3 linked regions of the Astyanax mexicanus genome follow. The protein of the gene in region 1 interacts with the protein of each later gene in a pairwise test. Links are inferred from orthologs where the notes say so. Each region holds a gene or a part of one and is shown on either strand. Other genes may lie near its edges.

The links.
Region 2: the proteins of lipid droplet assembly factor 1-A (region 1) and gad2 interact in binary tests that used the Homo sapiens proteins (3 or more experiments, as listed by UniProt). The two-hybrid records come from large-scale screens. The link is inferred for Astyanax mexicanus from reciprocal best matches to the Homo sapiens genes LDAF1 and GAD2.
Region 3: the proteins of lipid droplet assembly factor 1-A (region 1) and cacfd1 interact in binary tests that used the Homo sapiens proteins (3 or more experiments, as listed by UniProt). The two-hybrid records come from large-scale screens. The link is inferred for Astyanax mexicanus from reciprocal best matches to the Homo sapiens genes LDAF1 and CACFD1.

What each region holds. Positions count from the first base shown.
Region 1 is NC_064426.1:28,065,577-28,073,259, reverse strand, and holds the start of lipid droplet assembly factor 1-A, read right to left. Parts: upstream 3,011-7,683; 5' UTR 2,907-3,010; intron 2,382-2,906; 5' UTR 2,299-2,381; coding exon 2,272-2,298; intron 360-2,271; coding exon 191-359; intron 1-190. Other genes in the region: spag9a (sperm associated antigen 9a), read left to right, coding at 6,110-6,409. UniProt on the Homo sapiens protein: Plays an important role in the formation of lipid droplets (LD) which are storage organelles at the center of lipid and energy homeostasis. In association with BSCL2/seipin, defines the sites of LD formation in the endoplasmic reticulum.
Region 2 is NC_064413.1:51,300,836-51,308,148, forward strand, and holds the start of gad2 (glutamate decarboxylase 2), read right to left. Parts: upstream 3,020-7,313; 5' UTR 2,397-3,019; coding exon 2,327-2,396; intron 2,042-2,326; coding exon 1,979-2,041; intron 1,775-1,978; coding exon 1,625-1,774; intron 660-1,624; coding exon 426-659; intron 1-425. UniProt on the Homo sapiens protein: Catalyzes the production of GABA.
Region 3 is NC_064424.1:25,766,771-25,774,324, reverse strand, and holds the start of cacfd1 (calcium channel flower homolog), read right to left. Parts: upstream 3,020-7,554; 5' UTR 2,554-3,019; coding exon 2,433-2,553; intron 1-2,432. Other genes in the region: mob1bb (MOB kinase activator 1Bb), read left to right, coding at 5,736-5,749. UniProt on the Homo sapiens protein: Transmembrane protein which mediates synaptic endocytosis and fitness-based cell culling.

The DNA of each region.
Region 1 (7,683 bases):
TGAGCAATTTAACACCTGTGTGACTCATGGAAAACTACAATAATACTAATATACTTGGCCAAATTTGAATGAGAAATATCAAAAGTGTGTTAAAAAGCAAATTACATTGTTTTAAAATATTAATCAGAGCAGTACTTATATTGCGACATTGGGGGTCCTACTCCACTTCAATATTCCACTTCTTACGTACCTTCAACAAACACGAAGGATACTGTAACAGCAATAGACGTAACAGCAGCAAATATCAGGAAAAGACCAATGGGAAGTGCAGATGTTACACCGAACACAAGCAGCACCACTGCTAAGAAGGGATGTTCACTGAGGTACTTCCCCAGCTTAGTGTTTAAGAGCTCCTCAACCTAAAAGAATGGAGATCAATACATTTATTTGCAGTGGCTGTGGTTAACGGGTATGTCCAAACTAGAGATATCTTAAATATCTAGTATACGTACTACCCAGAATTCATTTGCAAATTTTTTACTGTCTCATTTACTGTTTTTACTGTCTGAATTACAGTGTAGATACACTATGCTGCCAAAAGTATTCGCTCACCCATCCAAATCATCAAACTCCTACTCACTACTAAATATTCCACAGCCAACTGTCAGTGATATTATAACACAGTGAAAAAGACTGGGAACGACAGTGACTCTGTGCTCTGTCAGTGTAAAATAACAGAGCGGGGTCAGCGGATGCTGAGGAGCATAGTGCACCTCCAAATTTATTGTGGCCTTCAGATCAGCTCAAGAACAGTAGAGTGTAGAGAGCTTCATTGAACAATTGGTTTCCATGGCTGAGCAGCTCCATCCAAACCTCACAGCTCTAATTATTAACACGGGTGAGTGAATACTTTTGGCAAGATTTGGAAAAAATTCAGTTTCTACCAGTTATAAAGTAGTAATAAGATATCTGTAAGTGGACACAACGTAAGAGAAAATGAGGCTCTGTGTACATCAATAATCATAAACATTGTAAGCCTGGATAAGTTTAATTAGGAAACCGGTTGACTTAAGATCTTAAAGTAATGTTAACTGAACACTTGAGTTAATTAGACCAAAATCTTTTTGTTATTATGCCTAATTTAAAAGTACATTTCATTTATTTTTATTTTTTTGCTCAACTATCAATTGACACATCCAATATCAATTGACAATTACATGTCAATTGTTTTGCACAATAATTTGAAGCAGATCTATAGAGAGGACAGTATAGTGCACAACTAATACAGAGTCAGCAGCTCCAAAAATGGCAGCATCTCCAAAAGTTCTTACAGCCTATAACACACAAACCTGACAGTTAATCATAATATATTATCTACAAGTTTACCTAAGGTCCTGGGGGGTGGTGTCAGAAACTGGGGGGGACACCCAGAATGCAAATACATTCTGCCAGAAGCCAATGAAAAGAAAAGAAGCTGCCAATGGCAAGAGACTAAACTTAATTATTATTAAGTTGCTTCAACTCAAAGATCTCTGTTTGAATAGTTAAGTAATATTTGGAACTATCCAATTTTACATAAAACAGACTTAATTTGTTTGAGTTCAATCTAACTGTGGGTTTACAGCATATAACTAGTGAGAATTACAGGATATACAGCTCTGGAAAAAAAAAAAGTTTCTCTGATTTTGCTATTTATAGGTATTTGTTTGAGTAAAATAAAAATAGTTGTTTTATTCAATAAACTTCAATAAATTTCTCCCAAATTCCAAAAAAAGTATTGTTATTTAGAGCATTTATTTGCAGAAAAGGAGAAATGGCTGAAGTAACAAAAAAGATGCAGAGCTTTTACACCTCAAATAATGCAAAGAAAACAAGTTCATATTCATAAAGTTTTAAGAGTTCAGAAATCAATATTTGGTGGAATAACCCTGGTTTTTAATCACAGTTTTCATGCATCTTGGCATATTTTTCTCCACCAGTCTTACACACTGCTTTTGGATAACTTTATGCCACTCCTGGTGCAAAAATACACGCAGTTCAACTTGGTTTGATGGCTTGTGATTCCAGAGGTTTTCAGTTTGGTAAAATTAAAGAAACTCATAATTTTAGGTGGTCAATTTTTTTTCCAGAGCTGTTTCATCTTGTTGATTTGATTTGATTTTATCACTAGTAAACATTTCATAGATTGTATCCTAAATAAGAGCTTCTACTATTATCAACTACAGTATATAATAAATATCTTGAATTCGAGCTTTTACCAGACAAATCTGAGTTAGTATTTTTATCACTGGTCTTAATTTAGGGTAAATCTACTGTATAAAGATATCTCACCCTTGGGTCACAGTGTAAATTCTCCATGATGGTGTGAAGTTTCCCTGGAGCTCCAGCGTCCCTGTAGGCAGCAGAGGTTCATTGCCACCCTGCCCTGTCCTACACCTACACTGGGTGGCAAGGACAGAGCAGTCAGACAGCTTGTATATAACAGTACAACATACAAAATGAATATATCTGCAGCTGTAGACCATGACATGTGTCTTTAACTAAATATTTAATGGTTTAATTATTAGTTAGTTGGTTAGTTGTGGGGCTGTGTTGCTTCTGCTGTTTGTTACCTCACTACCTGAAGAAGAAGAAGCAGCTGCTGCAGCTGAGATTACACAGTTTAACTAGCTACAAACCAACTCATTATTTTAGTAAAAGTTTTGCAATATTCACTCTACCCAGACCTAACCATTGCTCCTAGCTAACAATGTAGCCAGCTAATGCAAAATTAAACTCTTTAACAACAAGCAAATCCGACAATAACTTATATAGCTTGCTTGCTAGCTAACTCAAAAAGGTAACAAGGTAGGTTATTTATCTGACCAGCCTGGGTGTTACAGTCAATAACCTGGCTAAACGTTCCCTTAAGCACCATGTTATTAGTCCAGACTGTAATGTTTTAATGAGTAAAGTAATCCAGGTACCTGTTGATTCCATTAAAACCGACACTTCCTTTCTTTAGAAACAAACGTGAGTTTGAAACTGGGTTGCCAGATATCCACGCTGTACAATACAGCTGTAAGTAGGTTGTGTACAGAGGGGGCGCCACGTACTGTATTATTTCAATCAACCTTTATTTTCAACTTCTAAAAAAAAGGGTTCATAACCAAACTATAAAAATGAAATGGCAAAGGCATTAGAAAAAGAAACAAACAATTATGATTTAATTAAGAAAAAATTAAATAATTCAGAATAAAAGGACATAATAAAGTTGACAGGCTCAAATTTTAAAGCAGTCAAATAAAGATAAATAATTAGAGCAATAGCAAAATAAAATAACAAACACAAACAAAAAATAATATGACAAACATTTATAAAGATTATAAAAAGGGTAAAGGGTATCAATAAAAAAGGTCAAACAGAAAATAAAATAAATATAAGGGAGAAATAAAAAGGTAAAAACAAAAAAAATAAAAATAAACAAATAAATAAACTAAAAATTTAATTAAAATTTTAAAATAAAATAATTAAAATGAAGAAATAAGAAAAAAAATATAAAGGACAAAAGGTAAATCTAAAATAAATAAAATAAATAAAAGAAGTATGTCTAATAGTACTTAGAAATTAAAAGTTTAACATGATTCCTGTAGTCTATGCCTAGAATTACTTACAAATTAACTACTTACTAATTAACTAGTCTCCTTTACAGTAACTACTCATTAATAAAAAAACTATTACATTCCACCTACAGATTTAAATCAACATACTTCAATATTGCAAAATAACTTTAATGTCCCAATATCTTGAATATGTTGAAGGCCTAAAATGCATAGATGGATGTTTATTAATAAATGAAATGAAGCTGAACAGAAAAAAAAATACTGTATTTGCAATGAACAAAAAAAGTAAGGAAATCCAAGAAACACAGTATTTTGTATTTTCATTTTCCATATTGTCCTAAACTTTTCTGCTTTGGCGTTGTAAGTTCTTTATACATTTTATGATCTTCCTCTTCCAAGGAACATCTGGCAACCATTAAATCTGGCAACTGGTAAATCTGACGTGTCCCGAGCTTTCTCTGTAGCACTGTAGGTCCGCTTAGTTTCTCAATTTTGTTGCAGATATACTTTGTTCCTGATATGAAAACAATGTGGTTTGGCTTATTAATAAAATATTATGTCGACCCCCTCCACCCACCACCACCAATACAGTTTTCATTCTATTTGGAGATGTATTGGACTACAAAATGTAAATCTTACCAGGATGCAATTCAGAATTTTTTTTTCATTTTTACAAACAATTTGCACTTTATTTTGTCTCTAAAATAAAAATAACTTTAAAATAATAAAATACCTTTCAGTGAAGTTGTAAAGTTGTTTGCAAATTTGAAAAAGTAAGTGGCAATCTGTAATATATTTATTATTATTTATACAGTTTATAAAGCTGGCACTGTTCATAACATTGTTCTTAATATTGTAACAATCATTTTCAAATTTTTTAAAAACGCCAATCATTTGTACACCTGTTAATTTTTTTAAACAGTTTGTAACTGTTTTGTAAATCTATTACCATGTATAATGCTCTGCACAGCCTGTAGAAATTATTTAACAGTTTGCTCTAGTTTGTGACAACAGGCAAAGTTATTCCAGTTTGTATCATCCAGGAGAGAAGTAACAGTAAAAAAAATAGAATTGTTTCAGCTGTATAATTACACATCGTAACAAGTCTGAAATCCACTGTTACAGCTTAGAAAATTGTTACAGCTGAATGTTACAAGCTAGGGCAGCTTTTGAACTTGAATAATTGTTACAATTGTTACAACTGTTTTAATTTGTATCAATTTGCAAAGCTGCTCCAGCTTGTAAAATCCAGAAAGGTAGTAACAATTCGCAATATTGTTACATTGGTTTTGAAAGCTGTTACAGTTTCTAACAGTTAATCTGTTACAATTTGCAAAGCTTCTGTAAGAGTGTGCCATATAATATCATATGCAATAATATTACCAATGTTTTTCAATATTGCTAACAATATTATATCCTGAAATATCGTCTGAAATATCTCCCACCCCCAATTATCACATTAAGGTCCTAATTTTCTGCTGTTTTTAGCAAAAGACAAATTCATATAATTTATATTACTTTAATTTAATTTTCGTCTTGGATATATGGAGATATTTGGAGTGCATTATTATTAGTATCATGACATTCTGGAGTATTATTGACTTGCTACAAATCTGATAAAATTGTTGTATTTTTTTAATATCTCAGTTAGGGGTGTGCCATATGATATTGTATGCAATGATAAAATTTAATTTTCATTTTGTTGCAGTAGTGTATTTTTGACGTATTTTTATTTAATTAAATGTTTTGTCATATCAATAACAAAAGTATTGTTATCGCAAAAATACCATGAAATATCGTGATATTATTTTAAGGACATATCGCCAACCTCTACCTGTAACAGTGATTTTCAAAACTGTTACAATGTGTAATTGTACAGCTGGAACAATTGTTTTAGAATTAAATTAAACAAATTCTCAAAGTTCTGTTACTTTGGGTTTGTAAGATGTTATGATTTTAAACAATTTGCATGACTAATTTAATTTAAATCAGTTTGCAAAGCTGCTTCAACAGCTAGGCCTATTTATGGTTGTGATATTCCTTTAAAAAACGGGACTTCTCTCTGATACTCAGTCAGCTGAGGGATGGATGGTTAGCTTCTACTGTATGTGACACGTAGACCGAGCTCTCCAGCACCGCTAAACCGGTAAGAGTCTTCTGGAGAGGCTAAATTTAAGCTAGACACGGTCTGGAGGCTAAAAACAGCCATAAAGAAACAGGGAGACAAACAATGCTGTTCATTTGAATGGTGAACGCCGTGCTGTGTTGTATAGTGAGGAGGGCGTGACGTCACCAGCTCCCTGGTTCTGGTCAACAGCTCGGCCGTTGTGAGGAGAGAGAGGGAGACGGCGGAGGAAAACACGGAGAAAGAACGCAGAAAGACGGGGGAAATCGGGGAAAACAGGCAAGCCTGGGGACGGAAAAGTAAGACCAGGCTCTTTCCCTTTCAGTATCCGCCCGTTTTGAGCCGTTCTCGGCGTTTTAGAAGGAGTTTAACTGCGCCCGCCCGGAGCTTCGAATCTAGGGCACGTCAGTAGCGGCGAAGGGACTCGAGGCAAGCCGGGAAAATGGAGCTGGAGGACGGCGTGGTGTACCAGGACGACACGGGCACGGCGGCTATGATGTCCGAGCGGGTGTCGGGCCTGGCCAGCTCCATCTACCGCGAGTTCGAGCGCCTCATCGGCAAGTACGACGAGGACGTGGTGAAGGAGCTGATGCCGTTGGTAGTGGCCGTGCTGGAGAACCTGGACTCGGTGTTCGCGGAGAACCAGGAGCACGAAGTGGAGCTGGAGCTGCTGAAGGAGGACAACGAGCAGCTCATCACGCAGTACGAGCGGGAGAAAGCGCTGAGGAAACACGCGGAGGAGGTGAGCGGAGCAGGCCGGGCTATAGTTAACTATAACAGCCCAGAAGCATCCTCCCTTAGCTACCTAACTACCGAGTACTGAGTACTAAATACTGACTGAGTACTGAGCACTGAGTACTGAATACTGACTGAGCACTGAGTACTGTCTAAATACTAACTGAGTCCTGACTAAATACTGAGTACTAAATACTGACTGAGGACTGAGTATTGAATACTGACTGAGTACTGAGTACTGTCTAAATACTAACTAAGTACTGACTAAACACTGAGTACTAAATACTGACTGAGTACTGAGCACTGGGTACTGAATACTGACTGAGTACTGAGTACTGTCTAAATTCTAACTGAGTACTGACTAAATACTGAGTACTAAATACTGACTGAGTACTGGATGCTAAATACTGACTCAGTACTGAGTACTAAATACTGACTGAGTGCTGAGTACTTGATACTGAGTGATTACTGAGTATTGTGTACTGACTGAGTACTGAGTGAGTACTGAGTACTGACTGAATACTGACTGAGTACTGACTGAGCGCTGAGTACTGACCGAATACTGATTACGGACTGAGTATTGACTGAGTACTGACTAAAGGCTAATTTATACTTCTGCGTCTATGCCGTAGCCTTTGCCGTAGCTTGACGTGCACCTCACTGGAAATGTAACTATGTGTCGTGCATGCAGACAGCTGCAGCTGTGATTGGTCTGCCGATCTTCGAGTCCCCTCCCACACATTCCCGCCTTCATGGTTTCAAAATATAGAGCGACGCAGAACCGATGATCCACTCTCGCTGGATGACATGTAGGCTATGGCTTAGGTTTGACGCAAAAGTATAAATTGAGTTTGAGTAGTGAGTACTGACTAAGTACTGGCTGAGTAATAAGTACTGACTGAGTAATGAGTACTGAATGAGTATTGAGTACTTACTGAGTACTGACTGAGTACTGATGCTACTTGCAGCCTGAGCTCAGCCTCATTGTGTTGTTGCTGCAGCTGCTTACTGCCCCCAGCACCCCCATCACCCCCGCCGCCTCCACCTCCTCCAGACCAGGCCTGCTCTCACAAAGCCCCGGCTCTGTGTGGCTCCCTGAGCTTAATTCAGTGTTTACTGGTGTGCAAAAGAAATTCAGCATATATATGTGTGCGATATGGCTCTACAATAATATCACAATATTTTGCAAAAACATTGATATTTAAAAAAATAATAATTTAAAGAATTTACTATTTTAACAAAAAAATAAGAGACCACATCAATTTCTGAATCAGTTTCTCT
Region 2 (7,313 bases), on another chromosome or scaffold:
TCCATTGCAATTGAGAAAATCGGTTTTCTTATTTCTTGTGTATTTTTGCACTTATTACACACTGAGGCCTGTTGTCCAACAGAATTAACATTTATCAGCCAATCAAACAGCAGCTTAGCCCCGCCCACTGCATTGCACAAAATCAAATAATCATGTTGAGTTCTTTTTACCGCTTTGGGATGATTTTTGAATAAAAAAAAAGCTAAATAAAATTTATATGAAATACAAACGAGAATGCTACACAAATGATTACACTGCAATTAACAAAAATACAAATAATCTATATTTTAGTATGAATCACTGGAACATAATTCAGCTCTGAAAGGAATAATATAAATCAATAATTCTACAAATAGGCTATACGATATATATATATATATATACAGTATATAAAATATAAAAAGGGCTTCCAGCATTTCTCCTACCGGTTTTAATGGCGTATTTTAAGGTGGCTCGGCAGCTGATCAGAATATCATCCAGGGTTTCCGGTTCGTCCGAGAGCTCCCAGTTGTTCCGCTGGAGCAGCTCGTTCGGATAGTGGAAATCGATCACCTTGGTGGATCGATCGAAAGACTCCACGATGTAGGCCAGCAATATATCCACCACCTCCTGCAGGAAATTCATCGTCTTCATATCGCCGTCCAGCGCGGGGAGCAGGTCTGTACCGAACCCAGATTATTATAACGATTATTATATGATAATAAATACCATCAGAAAAGAACATCGGCGAAATGTGTTGAATTAATGATAAACGGCAATCTCAGTTTTAGCAAAATCAGTTTTGGTTTTAAATAAATCAAATAAGTCAAATAAATGAATAATGCTTTACCAAAAAATCCCAAATCATCAGGATTTATAAAAAACAAACCCAAAAAATCTCATATCAGTTAAAAAAAAAAACATATAATTTACAATCATTTTCTTTCTTAAACTGTACATCTAATCACGTATTAATGATCGTTAATCATTAATAATTACCAGTAAGACATAAATATAAAACAAATGCATAAATAAATGAAACATTTAAACAACAGGAGCCCCATTATAACGCGAATGAAAAAAAATAAAACACACATGCATGCATTTAGTTGGTAGGCTTTATACATTATTATACATTATTATTAATACATATCTATTTCTAGACACACACCCGCACGCACGCAGACACGCACACACACGCGCGCATTCACACACACACACACAGACACGCACGCGAGAGCACACACATACACACATGCACTGTACTTTAAGATGTATGCTACGTTCTGTGTATATAATGTTGACTTCCTTTTTAGAATATATATAAATACATATATATAGAAAATATAAATATATTCTTGTTTTTTTTTTTCAAAGGAAAAACAGGCACTTTTTACAGAAAATGACGGGGAAATTAGTAAATAATAAATACACACATAAACACAGAAATAAATACAAAATAAAACCCCCAAATAAATATACATTAAAACAGACAAATGTTGCACTATACATAAAGCTTAATAATAATTTCGCTAGATATGGCCATGACCTTGCGTGATGTGTAGGTTAGCTTGGCTAATCCGGCTGCATCCAAAAAACGAAAAAGAAAAAGGAAAATAATAATACATCCCAGAATAATGTTTACCTGTTGAATAGAGGTGAGAGAAGCCCACCGTGGCTTTGGAGCAGATGCATGGTTTATCACTGCAGCTGCAGCTCTCCGCCAGAGGGTCTTCTCCCTGTTTAGCTGCAGAGGGGTCTGCGCCCTTCTCCATCTCCCCGACATTCAGCAGCGCTTCAAATTAACGTTACATTATATTATTTTATTTTATATACTTTTTTTTCTTCACAATTTGATATATAAATATTTAAATTTGTGATGTAGGCCTATAAATACACTAAATATATATAAGAACCACAATAAAAATGTCACTACTATTTTATATAGTCTTATAATAAAGATTAGCGCCTCTTTTTGGTGATAAATAAATGATCTTACCACATAATTTCGAGCCGATGCCTCCTCCGAATTTTTGGGCCGCCGCTTGGCACCAAGCCCGAGCTAAAGCGAACGAGAAAAATAGATACAAAAATATTAAAATCTGAATTTTAGATTGTAAGAAACGTAGTAACTAACGTTATTTCTGGTCGAAAAAATAAGGGACGTATTTAAAAACTCTTTAAACAATTTAAACACCTTAAAAAACGAATAAAACACGAAATAAACGCTTTAGCGCTGTTTTAAGCATTTTAAGCCTTTATGCTTCCTGTTTTGGATCCTTATTATATATATTTTTATTTTTTTGTTATAAATCATTAGCTAAAAATTAGCCTCCGCTGTACTCACGCGTGCTCGAGCCGCTGTTGTTGTCTCCCGCGTTCTGGGCGCCCAGAGACCAAAAGCCGTGCGAAGCCATGGCGCGAAAACGACGCTGTCTGCGGCTAGGAAAGATAAACCGAGCCCATCCAGGGGTGATGGAGGGAGGGAAGAGGACAAATAAAGGGGGAGAGGAGGGGAGAAAAGGGGGGAACGGCGCGGGAAGCTCCGCTCAGGTCCTCGCTGGATGTTGGATGCTGGTGTTGCTGATGCTGTTGCTGCTGTAAAAAGCGCAGCTGCGTACGCGAGCGCGCGTGCATGCAAAACAAATCTGACGCACAGAAGCGAAGTGAGCGTGCTTTTCTTTTTCCCAATCCCGGCGCTGCGCAATAAAAGTCCACACGCGCCACCGGTGCGCCCTTTCTCGCCTTGCCTTTTTTATTACGCAGCGCATGCACGCCGCCGCCTCTCGCGCACGCGACGGTGGAGCTGCGCAGCTCTCCGGTCACTGCATGCTTCCAGAGAGGTGCTGCCGGAGAGACCCTTGCACGAGCGCGCACGAGCTGTGCGGGGAGGTGGGGAGAAAGAGAGAGAGCGGGAGAGAGTGCGAGTTTGCGCGCCCGCGAGCCGGATTAAGGCTTTGCTTAATTTATTTTTTTGCAGGTCGCATCATAATCCAGCGTGCGTGGAGGGAAAAAAGTAGGACGCACTAACGGTGCACTAATGTTAGAACCCCGTACCTACCCTCCCACTTCTCCCCCCACCCCCCACACCCACGCACACAAATTCCAGCATGATTCACTTCTCGTGACGACCCGCTCTGCGTCCCCGAGTCGTGCGTGACAGTTCCTGGCCCCTCCTGGAGCCCTCGTGGCGCACGGCTTAGCTCGCGCCTGTGCGCAATTTTAGCTCAAGATGGTCAAAGTACATAAATATATAAATATGTGTGCATGTGTGTGTATATAATTTTGGGGTGGGTAGGCAAGTAGGTTGGTGGGATGGGGGGCTGGATGGGGGGCGTTGAGTAGGGGGGTGGGGTTGGGGGGTAGAGGGTTAGGGTGGAACCCAAATCCTCTCTCTCTGTTATGCTGGTGAAAGCAGAGCTCTGCTGGTTTTGCGTCTACAGATATGCGGGTATTTCTCTGCAGCTGCGTGAATAATGCGCAGAAAGCCTAAAAAAAAGCCCTTTAAGGAAATAAATGGTGGGAGAGCAACATCTAAGAGTGTGCATTGCAATATATATGTATATATACAGCTTTGGAAAAAAAATGAAGAGACCTCTTATTCTCTAATCTACGAACAACATTCCTCCTAAATTACAAATAAAAATATTATCATTCAGAGCTTTTATTTGCAGAAAATGAGAAATGGCTGAAATAACAAAAAAAGATGCAGAGCTTTCAGACCTCAAATAATGCAAAAAAAAACCAAGCTCATATTCATAAAGTTTTAAGAGTTCAGAAATCAATATTTGGTGGAATAACCCTGTTTTTTTAGTCACCGTTTTTAATGCATTGTGGCATGTTCTCCTTCACCAGTCTTACACTGCTTTTAGATAACTTTATACCACTCCTGGTGCAAAAATTCAAGCAGTTCAGCTAAGTTTGATGGCTTGTGATCATCCATCTTCCTCTTTATTTTCCAGAGGTTTTCAATTGGTAAAATCAAAGAACCTCATCATTTTTAAATGGTCTCTTATTTTCCAGAGCTGTATATATGCATGATATACTATTTATGATATATATGATAATGATAATTGGGGTCAGGTTTTTCTTCACTATATAAAGGAAAACCAGTTTCCTTCCTTCCCTCCTTTCCTCCTATACCCCTCTATTTCCATTTGGCCTCCTTTAGGCCCTGCCTAAAATGTTTTGTTTGTATTGAACTTCTATGTCATCTGTTGCTAAATGTACATCATTATTTGTAAGTCGCTTTGGATAAAGAGTCCGCTAAATGTAATGTAATGCAATGTTATTAAAGTCAGGGGTCCTAAAGAATATATATTATACAGCAAAATCAACAGCTTTTTAAGCACATACCACTACACAGTACATTGCTACATTAAAGGCATAGCCCACACAAAACAATCTAAATAATAAAATGTAAAAGAATCTGAACATTAACTGTTATGTTTAAACATCAGTGTATTGAGATTCACTGCATGGTTATCTGAATTAACTGTAGAAGTACTCATATATGGGAGCAACACTCAGTTTCAATATATTATTCACATTGTCCTTTCCACCTTAAAATATATTTCCCTTCCACCTTAAAATGGTGCATGCATGATATTGACCTGTAGTATATGTTTTATATACTTTAAGACTTTTTTTATACATTTCTGCTTACATTATGTGCAGAAATGACAAACAGTCCATATAAACCTAAACCTGGATTCTTATTTGCATGATCTGTTCCACCTTAAAAGCCAAAGATGTTTATTTCAAAGTGCCTACAAGCCAAAAGCTTGTCTGTCAGGACAGCAGTATTTAAAGTGGAATTGTAAATTTACTGATGGCAATTAGCAAGTATATGTAAAAAAGCTAGGTAGCATCTACTTTTATTTAGTGACAGTTACAATGTTAATGAAGAAGCAAGCCAGGTGACTAAAAATATTAGTGAAGCAAGAGATAACAAGGTATGATCTATTTTAGGGGTATTTTAAATTGTATTACGATATTATTACGATATTTCCAGGCATGGATATTGTAAATTTAATATGTAACATTTAACATTATTGGTAAGTAACATGAAACATAACTGTTTTTATTTTTTTTACATAAAAGCTTTGTTAGAACACACTTTTTGCACCCATGTTTTGCAGAATGTTAAAAGTTAGATGTTTTACCTTCTTCCAGTTGCTTCCAAAATTCATCAGGCTTGTTTAGATGCTCCTTTAAGAACCTCAGGTGCTGAACTTTGTAGTGATGAAGACACAGTAAAGCCTTTTTTTTTATGACATTTTGGTGATCATAGTCCAGAGCCTGATCAATCTTCCTGAAGTCTTCCTCCAGGCCTTAACTTAAAACTTAGGAAACGACTACTTAAAAATAGCTTTGCTAGGCTGTGTGTCAGAGCCACACAGTACACACACAGAACAGCCATTTTTCCCTTTGCATTGCAGTGCATATGTGCGGAGAACTGTGCATAACCAAAGGCTGCAAGAAAGGATACATCAGCTGCGTCCTTTTTTTAATGCACCCTTAAAACCATTCCAAACCCAAGCTCTTAGGAATAGCCAAGAATTTGTTCTTAGCCTTATAGGGTATGTTCTTAGTGCTGGAGAGTTGCAGCTACTTAGAGGAGCTCATGGCTGCTGATTGTTGTAATTGACATCACCTGTGAACAAGCCACAGCCCTAGCCAGCTAATTAAGCCTTTCAGTAAAAGTAGCCTGAGAGCTCAAATCTCTCATGTGCCCAAAGCTTTGCATTCTGCTCCTTTATTTTCTTTTTTTAGCTCTAAAATTTTACAATAAATGAACAATTATACAATAATCTTGTGGAAAATCTTCTATAAAAAATTATTATTCACAGTAAAACAACAATTTAACCAGCAACCATATAGCAGCCACCTAACAGCACCCTAGCAATCACCACAGATACCAAAGCAAGTCTTTAGCAACCATGTAGCAACCACTAATCAACACCCTAGCAACCTCCTAGCAACACCGTAGCAATCACCACTGATACCATAGCAACTCCTTAACAGCCACCTAACAACCATTTAGCAACCTCATAGCAACCATCACAAATTTCATTACATTACCTTAGCAACCAGTTAGCAACAACATATCAACCACTGGGGATACCACAGCAACCACCTTACAACACCTTAACAATCTTAACGATCATATGAGCCATGTTAGCTATGCATTCATCATCCACCACTTAACAACACCTTGGCAATCACCTAGCAACACCACAGCAATCACCATGGACACTTATCAACACCATAGCAAGACTACCAACCACTTAGTAACCATGTAGCAACCACCTAGGAATCACCTAACAGCACCCTGGAAATCATCACAGATACCATAGCAACTCCTTAGCACCATAGCACCATAGCACCATAGCAAAACACCTACCAACCACTTAGCAACCATGTAGCAACCACATAGCAACCACCTAACAGCACCCTAGAAATCACCACAGATACCATAGCAACTCCTTTGCATCAATGTAGCAACACCTTAGCAACCACAGTACTTGGATTCATTATTTTAATTGCCTGACAACACTATTCAAATAGTAAAAATCCTAAATGTGATGAAAAAAACAGAAAATTAAATCACCAAATTTGCTAAAAAAAAGATTTTATCTGGCCCTAGTAGTGCACCACATCAGTTATTGTAATGTTCTGAGAGATTTTTTTTTGTTTACCAAAAATGTAACAATTGTACATTCATTTTGTGTAAAATGTGGAAATAATACATTTTATCTTTCTTATCTTATATATTTTGATTATTCACAGTAACACAACAATTTAACCATAACCTTCTTTGTATAAATCTGTATGTTTGACTCTCTATCCTCAAACACACTCCCACTCCACTTGAGAGCCACTGTGTTTTAGGGTCTTGCGTTGTCTTTTTGTCAGATCAAATCCCAAGTTATTGCCCTGTCACTGTGAATTATGGGATACTGGGAGTAAAACAGTGGAGACATGGCCTCTTTCTCTCTCACAAATAAAGAAAAAGCAGTAACTCCAAAAAAGATCCAGTACAATCACAACAAATTCAATAGTTAGCCGATAGGCTATTTATCCATTTTTGGTTTCAAATTAAAAGCCCCAGGGCAGAAAATCTAAAAGAACACCATAGCAACCACCACACAAAAAAGACTTCTGCATCACTTTAGCAACCAGTTAGTAACAACAAAGCAACCACCTGGGATAGAATAACAACCACCTAACAATACCGTAATGATCTTAGCGATCGGGGTCCATCATACATCCATCATACATTTCCTTCAGGAAGTTATATCATTGCTATGACTTGATTATAAGATAATATC
Region 3 (7,554 bases), on another chromosome or scaffold:
ATTTCATAATCATACAAATCAAACCCCTCAGGTGCTACGGTTTCTTTTCAAAAGCACTGGAAAAATCCAGAAGCTGTGCTATTTACAATTTACACACCTTTTTTAGATAAAGATTGACTCGCACTGTACATGCGCAGAGACTTTTTGAATAACCAGGAGCTGGAAAGGACAGCTGCGACCTCTGAACGTCGGCTGCATTTTTCGGCTGTATATTTCTCAGAGGATACTTAACTTTGGAACAGCCTTCTATGGCATAGTGGCGAAGAAATTCATTTCTCATTTCAAGTTAATTTCTACAGTACGGAATGAAATGGAACCAATGCATTCATATGATATACAGTTGGTGTCACCTACAGCAATGGCACATTGTAAACAAGCCTGAACTCAAATGTGTACTTTCTTGAAGACACACATTTCACCAATTTTCTTATTTCAGTAACAAATACGCCAAAATTAAATCTTAACACAATATTAACTGTCTTAGCATTAGTTTCCACAAAATTCTGCACACGCCTCACCCAATCAGTAAAAAAAACGCTGACTGCTTTCCTTCTCTTTTGGGCTGCAGTATAAACTCAACATAGGCGGTTTGAAATTTGTTCTGGGAGAAGGGGCGGGCCTATAAAATGAGTAGTTGGGTCTGACTCCACCTAGATTCAGCTAGATTCACACTACACGATTTTTTAAGTTGTCATTCGTTTTGTTCTTCACACGTGACTGGTTGTGCTGTAATTATGAGTGCTTCAGTTTTTACAGTAAAATTTTTTTACAAAATACAAGATTTCTTATTGTGGAAAATCGCAGACTCACCTTACAGAAACACATTTATCATAAGAACATGCCAGAACTAAACGCACATCAAAACTAAAGATTCCAAAAAAGAGAATTTCCATAGAGGAAAATAACCGTAAAAAAATAATCGCAATGCATCCAACATGAAGGGGTTCCTATAAAGCAACTGAGTAAAATAAATGTGACTGAGTTTATAAATGTTTGGGCATTTTTATCCTGAAATATGTACTTATGTCCTCAAAACAGAACTATATCAAATGTTTCAGTACCATGGACACCATTTTTTAAGGTTTTAAACTCCGGTTCTAAGCTTTTTAAACTCAGTGCTCTAGCTAAACAACCAATTAGCTCATTGCAGTAATGCTAGGGTCTTTACTGACTAAACTACGTTTGCTGTAGAAAAATGGAAGTCTACAGGCATGCATTTTTTGCTTTACTCAGACTAGTATTTAGCAGTAAATCACTATTTTTAATTAAAATATTTAGCTTTTAGAATTCACCCCCATGAATAGAAGACTCACTCGCAAGCTCCGTCTATTTTTTAACAGTATTTTACTGATATTATAGGGAAACAGAAAGTGGTCTGACTTTCCATAAACAGCTCTGGCCATGCAGAAGATGTGTTTTGAACCTGTGGTTCTCTTTTTCTGTGATCCCATTGGCTGTGGGTAGCCACTGCTCCTGACTCCCAGTCGCCGACTGGGTCAGATATTTAGCATGCCTAAAATCTGCCGAGCACCTGCGGCTGGTCGGAGATCAGGCTTGGTGAGCGTCTTTCAATAGTTCACACAACAGGATGAGCAACGCCGAGTGATCACCGATTTTTTAGTGATCAATTAAAAATTGTTGGTTGGGCTAAAATTGTGTAGTGTGAACCTGCGACAACATTGCAGATGTTTTTGGGATTATGTCTATATCTGTCTAATGAAGCTTTTTTGGTGACCTCACACTCAAACGTCACAGAAACACTTCTTTTCTACATAAAAAAGGAATTATTTTTGCAAATATATTTGTTTTAATTAGCACTGTACATGTGCCGAATTATGGGTAACCATAACTGTTACAACTGTTGTGTCCTAAAAAGCCACACATTTCACCAATGTTCAATATTTCTGTCACAAATATGATAAAACAAATGCTAACACAATCGTGTGTGGCAAGCGTGTGAGCCTTCAGGCAATTTTATTTGCTGAAAATGAGAAATGGCTGAAATAACAAAAAAGATGCAGAGCTTTCAGACCTCAAATAATCCAAAGAAAACAAGTTAATATTCATAAAGTTCAGAAACTAATATTTGGTGAAATAACCCTGGTTTCTAATCACAGTTTTTATGCATCTTGGCACGTTCTCCTCCACCAGTCTTACACACTGCTTTTGGATAACTTTATGCCACTCCTGGTGCAAACATTTAAGCAGTTCAGCTTGGTTTGATGGCTTGTAATCATCCATCTTCAGCTTGATTAAATTTCAGAGGATTTTAAATGGGTAAAATCAAAGAAACTCATCATTTGCAATTGGTCTCTTATTTTTTTCCAGAGCTGTAAATATATATATATATATATATATATATATATATATATATATATATATATATATTTTAGTAATATGATTTTTAAAAAAGTCAGAAGAAGCACACATACCGAGGCCACCCAGCACAGCTGCGGTTTTGCAGATCCACCGGTACCACCAGGACATGCCATCCTCGTCGGCGGCTGCTGCTGCTGCTGCTTTGGGGGGAGCTGTGGCCTCCTCTGAGCTCATCTTACTGCTTAATTATTCACACCGCCACAGATCAGCCGCGCACAATGCCTGCCTTCTCCGGTGCGGCTCGAGTTAAAGTAGCGGACAGCTCCAGTGACAGGTCCGGGAGAGGGCCAGCGAGCCGGGCAGTCCGTTAACGAGCCTCCGGAGCCGGTGGTGAAGATCCAGAGGAAGGAAAAGTGAGGAATACCGAGCTGTTTATCTGTCTATCTGCCCCCGTCCTGCTTTATCATCATCACACAGACACCAACACACACAGCCGAACCGAACCCACAACTTCCCCGCCACAGAGCCCTCCGCCCTCCGCCGTGTCCGCCGCTGTAATTCTGACCCGGTTCTGTCTCTAGCAGAGCAGCTACAGCCCCAGTTTAACTGTTGTATCGGTGTATTTTAGTGGTCCATTGTCTGGCCGCTTATCTCGGAGGTTCCCTCGGTTGCGTTGCAGTGGGGGCGGAGTCTATGATACGTCGCTTTGCAACGTCATTTGTTTCACGGGCTTCAGGGTCCACCTCATTTGCGCAGTCTGTTGTAAAACCTGCTCTGTTTCTTTGTTTTATGTTAGTTTTAATTCAGCACAAATTAAATATAAATTACTGAACTTACCATTTTAACTTTTACCAATCTCAAACATTGACAAATTTCAAAAAAATATTTTACAATTCTTTAATATTTGTAATGAAGTTCTAAATAAATAAATAAACAAACAAACACCACCCAGATAACACAGTGCCAGTGAAATTAAAGTTAAATTTAGTGTTTTTATTTTTTAGGAGTCACCTGGAATAGTTTTCAGTTAACAGATGTGCTGAGTTAATTACCTGAATTTCTTGTCCTCGTAATGTATTGGAGAGCATCAGTTGTGTTGTGAAGAGGTAAAGTTTGTGTGCGTTGAAAAACTACTCAACTCAAGTAACGAAAAAAAAAGAAATGGTCAGTCAATTCGAAATATTTTAAGAACTTTGTAAGTATCCTTTAATGCAGTCACAAAGGCCATCAAAATGTTATGATGAAACTGGCTCTCATCAGGACCACCCTAGGAAAGGAAGACCAGGAGTTACTTCTGTTGCACAGGATAAGTTCATCAGAGTTACCAGTCTCAGAAGCTGCAAGTTAATAGCGTCACAGAGCATTTTGGTTTGTTTAACACTTTACTTTTATGATTTCTTCTGTGTTCCTTTATAGTTTGGTTGATTGAGTATTCATTTACAGTTTACAAAATAAAAACATTCAATGAGAAGGTGTTTCCACACATTTGAATGGTACTGTTTCCCTGGGTATAGGTTGCCTCCATGTAGATTGTACACTACAAATGCACATAGGGCCTAAATGGGACTAAAGCTGGACAATATATAGATATTTTATCATATCAAGTTAAATTTTCCTATCTTTCTTATCTTAGATTTTTCTTATCTTATCTACAGTAAGTATATAGAGAAAATAATCATTACTTAAAGAACACTGACTCATTTGTGCATTTCATTACATAAAGTATAAAAAAAATCCTTTTTAATTTAAATTGCTAATCCCAGAAACAAAACGGGTCTATGTGATGTTATATAATAATAAATACTAGTATTTGTTAATAATTTAGTATGTATTTGTGACAGTGTCTGCACAAGTGTGTGCAGATGCACACTCCCCATGCACAATTTATAGTTTTATAGAACTGTCATTACCATAGACTCACAAGTAATCTGTATACCATCCTAAGAGGTTCTGTGTGTATTTGAATTCGCCCCCTAGGCCCCAATCTAGTAGAAAACAGAGAGTTGAACCCATGATTTAGAGCGAAAATGGACTAGGTATATCTTAAATCGATCCCTTATGCCCTATGTAGTGAACTACTGTTTGGGTGTAAGAAAAGAAGTAAGTAAGAACTGCTTAACTTTTCATTTGATGGTGTTTGATTGATCAGCAGGTTATTTAACAGCAACAGGGGTGTTTTCAAGTACAAATACTTTTTTTACCTTACTTAAGTAGAAATGTTGTTTATCTATACTTTATATATTTTTTCAGATAACTTTTTACTTCTGCTCCTTATTTTCACACAATTATCTGTACTTTCTACTACTTACATTTTAAAAGTAGCCTTGTTACTTTTATTTCATTTCAGCTTGTTTTAATTCTGGCTTCTCTTTTTTCGTTCAAAAAAAATCTCTACATACAATCCCCAATCCCCAATGTACAAGGCCAATTACCCAACCCCCTCATTAGGACTCTCCCATTACTAGTAATGCCCCAACACCAGGAGGATGAGGACTAGCACATGCCTCCTCCAAACTCCACATGCCTCCTCTGAACAACCGCCTCTTTTTGAACTGCTGCTAATGCAGTTTTGCCGAGTAGCCAGTATGCTCAGAGGTTAGTGCAGCGATTCTTTTACATCAGCTCACGGACACCTTGTGCTGAGTGACGTCACCCTTTGGAGTGATGGGGAGAGAGCGCCATCTACCCACCCATAGAGAGCGCAAGGCCAACTGTGCCCCCTCAGGGATCAGGCAGCTGATGATAAGCTACATAAAGGAATCTGAACTAGCGATCGACCAGCTTAGCCCGCTGCCACAATGATCGGAGCCGCAGAGAATTTGATTGTGAATTTGATTGTGGTTGGATGAGAAGTATAAACATATACCATTTCATTACCCTATTGGTTTATGGATCCATCACATCTGAACATTTAACATCACATTCCAGCAAGAACAAAGCAGATGTATGTAGCCATATGAAGATGATCCTTACAGAGAACTCGAGCAAAATGTCCCAACTGAGCATCTTTAATATATTTGCATATATTAGCATCTTTAATATACAAGAATATATGCAGCTAAAACAAGATACCGTGCATCCCAAATTTATCAACAGTGACATTTTAATATAACATTATAATCATTATGGCTTTTAGAAAATGTGTTTTGGGGAGGGAGAAAAGCACTATAGGCCCATGTATAGGCACAGCACTTTGGTAACGTATCTTATAAATGCCTTGTTTTAAGGGGAAGTGATCGAGGGCGCACTGTGAATGATTTGACACACACCCAGGCTGGGCAGATGGCTTGTAGATCCGCGGAGCTGCGGCGCTCCAGACCAGCCTGCTGCCATAAAACCCCCTAAAGAAGAAGAAGCAGCAGCTGAGCTGGGAGCTGCCTGAAGTCTCCCCGCCTGCAGAACATTAACACAAGAGGATGAGCTTCTTATTGTGAGTATTGTGGGCAGGTGTTAGTGCTTTCTTCTGTTGTTAAAATGTCATATTAGACAGATAGTTAGCTTCGTTTGAGTTTGTCTTATTATTGAGTGAAGCGATTAGCGTTAGCAAAACAAGCGGCTGAGCTTCTGCTGCTGGTTAGCTTCGCCTCACTACCCACAGTCCCTGAGCTAGCACAGAGCTAACTAGCTAATATTTACACATTTTTACACACAAATGTTGAGCTATAACTGTCTGTCTGCCTATCTAACGTTATATGTATATCTGCATTGTAATCAGCACTAGAAGAGTTTGGGTTGTTGTATCTTATGTAAAATTTGAGCGCTGTCTTAAATGTAGTTAACGTTATTTCTTTAAGAAACACAACTTTCGTGGTGTAGGTTCAATATACTTACCTACCCTAGTTTAGTTAACTCCTTAACAGGCCAGGATTTTTATAAATTTTTTGCCTGATATTACACACCTAAATCTTGAAGACTTATATTGAAGCATTACATAAAAAGGTTTCATGTTTGATAATAAACGTTACTACAACATTTTTATTTTAATTGTAATAGAAATAATTAAAAACCTGTCAGTATAATGAGTAAAATTTTCCTGAATGCAAATCAATAATATCATGGTCTCCAAACCTTTTAGTTTCGTTGTGGTTATCTAGTTTTAACGTCTATTTCTAAAATTGAGGTTTATTTACTGTCACTTCTCTGAATTGATTAACTAAAGTAGAGAAAAAACAGGCAGCTTCTCTAAGTGTCCTGTAGGTGATTTTCAAAGCCCTCAAATTCTCAGAATGTAAATGTTATTTTACTGCAGAGAAAAAGGGTTTTGTTTCATCTACACCTGTATCCTGTAATTGATTAATTGATTCATGTAAACAAGGTTTGATGTGATTGGCTTTGTTGTAGTGCAGCTGATTAAAGAAGCAGTATGGCCTAAAACACTCTTTATAAGTTCATTGACTGAGTGGGGTTAAGCTCTAGTTGGACATATGCAAATTCAGCTTTAAAACGAATAAACTAATGATTATTTTGGTAGTCGACTAATCTGACAATTATTTTTCTGATTAGTCAACAATTATTTCTCTATACCATATCTCTGCCTTCTATAAGTACGGCTCCTGTTTCTTGCTTTCTTTATCGCTTCCAAACTGTATAAACAGCTGAATGTGGGATTTAAATTCCATTTAAATGTCCAGAACACTCACTCACTCATCGTCAACCGATTTATTCGCGGGGGGCTGGAGCCTATCCCAGGTGGCATCGGGCAGAAGGCAGTTTACACCCTGGACAGGCCGCCAGTCCATCACAAGGGCAGACAAACACAGACACATTCACTCACACCTAGGGGGCAATTTTATCCGATATCCAATTAGTCTGAACGTGACCTCTTTGGACTGTGGGAGGAATCCGGAGCACTCGGAGGAAACCCATGCAGACACAGGGAGAACTTGCTAACTCCACACAGAAAGACCCAGGTCTAAAATGTATTGTCTTTAAACGAATATAATTGCTTTGTAATGCTATTCTATTATGAATAATATTCTTTTATATCGGTGGCATTTACATTGTCTTTAAATGACAATAATATAGTTTTTGCAATGATATATCGTATCTGAAATATTGTTATCGTGACAGGCCTAGATTAATGACATTAAGGTGAAGCTGGGCTGAAACTAAAGGCTTAGTAAAAAGTTCACCTGAGACTGTTGCATATGGCTCCGAAGACAACCACATTGACCATACTTGACTAGACAGATTGAATTTAGCCTTTGCTTTTAACTAAATGCAACAATGCACACC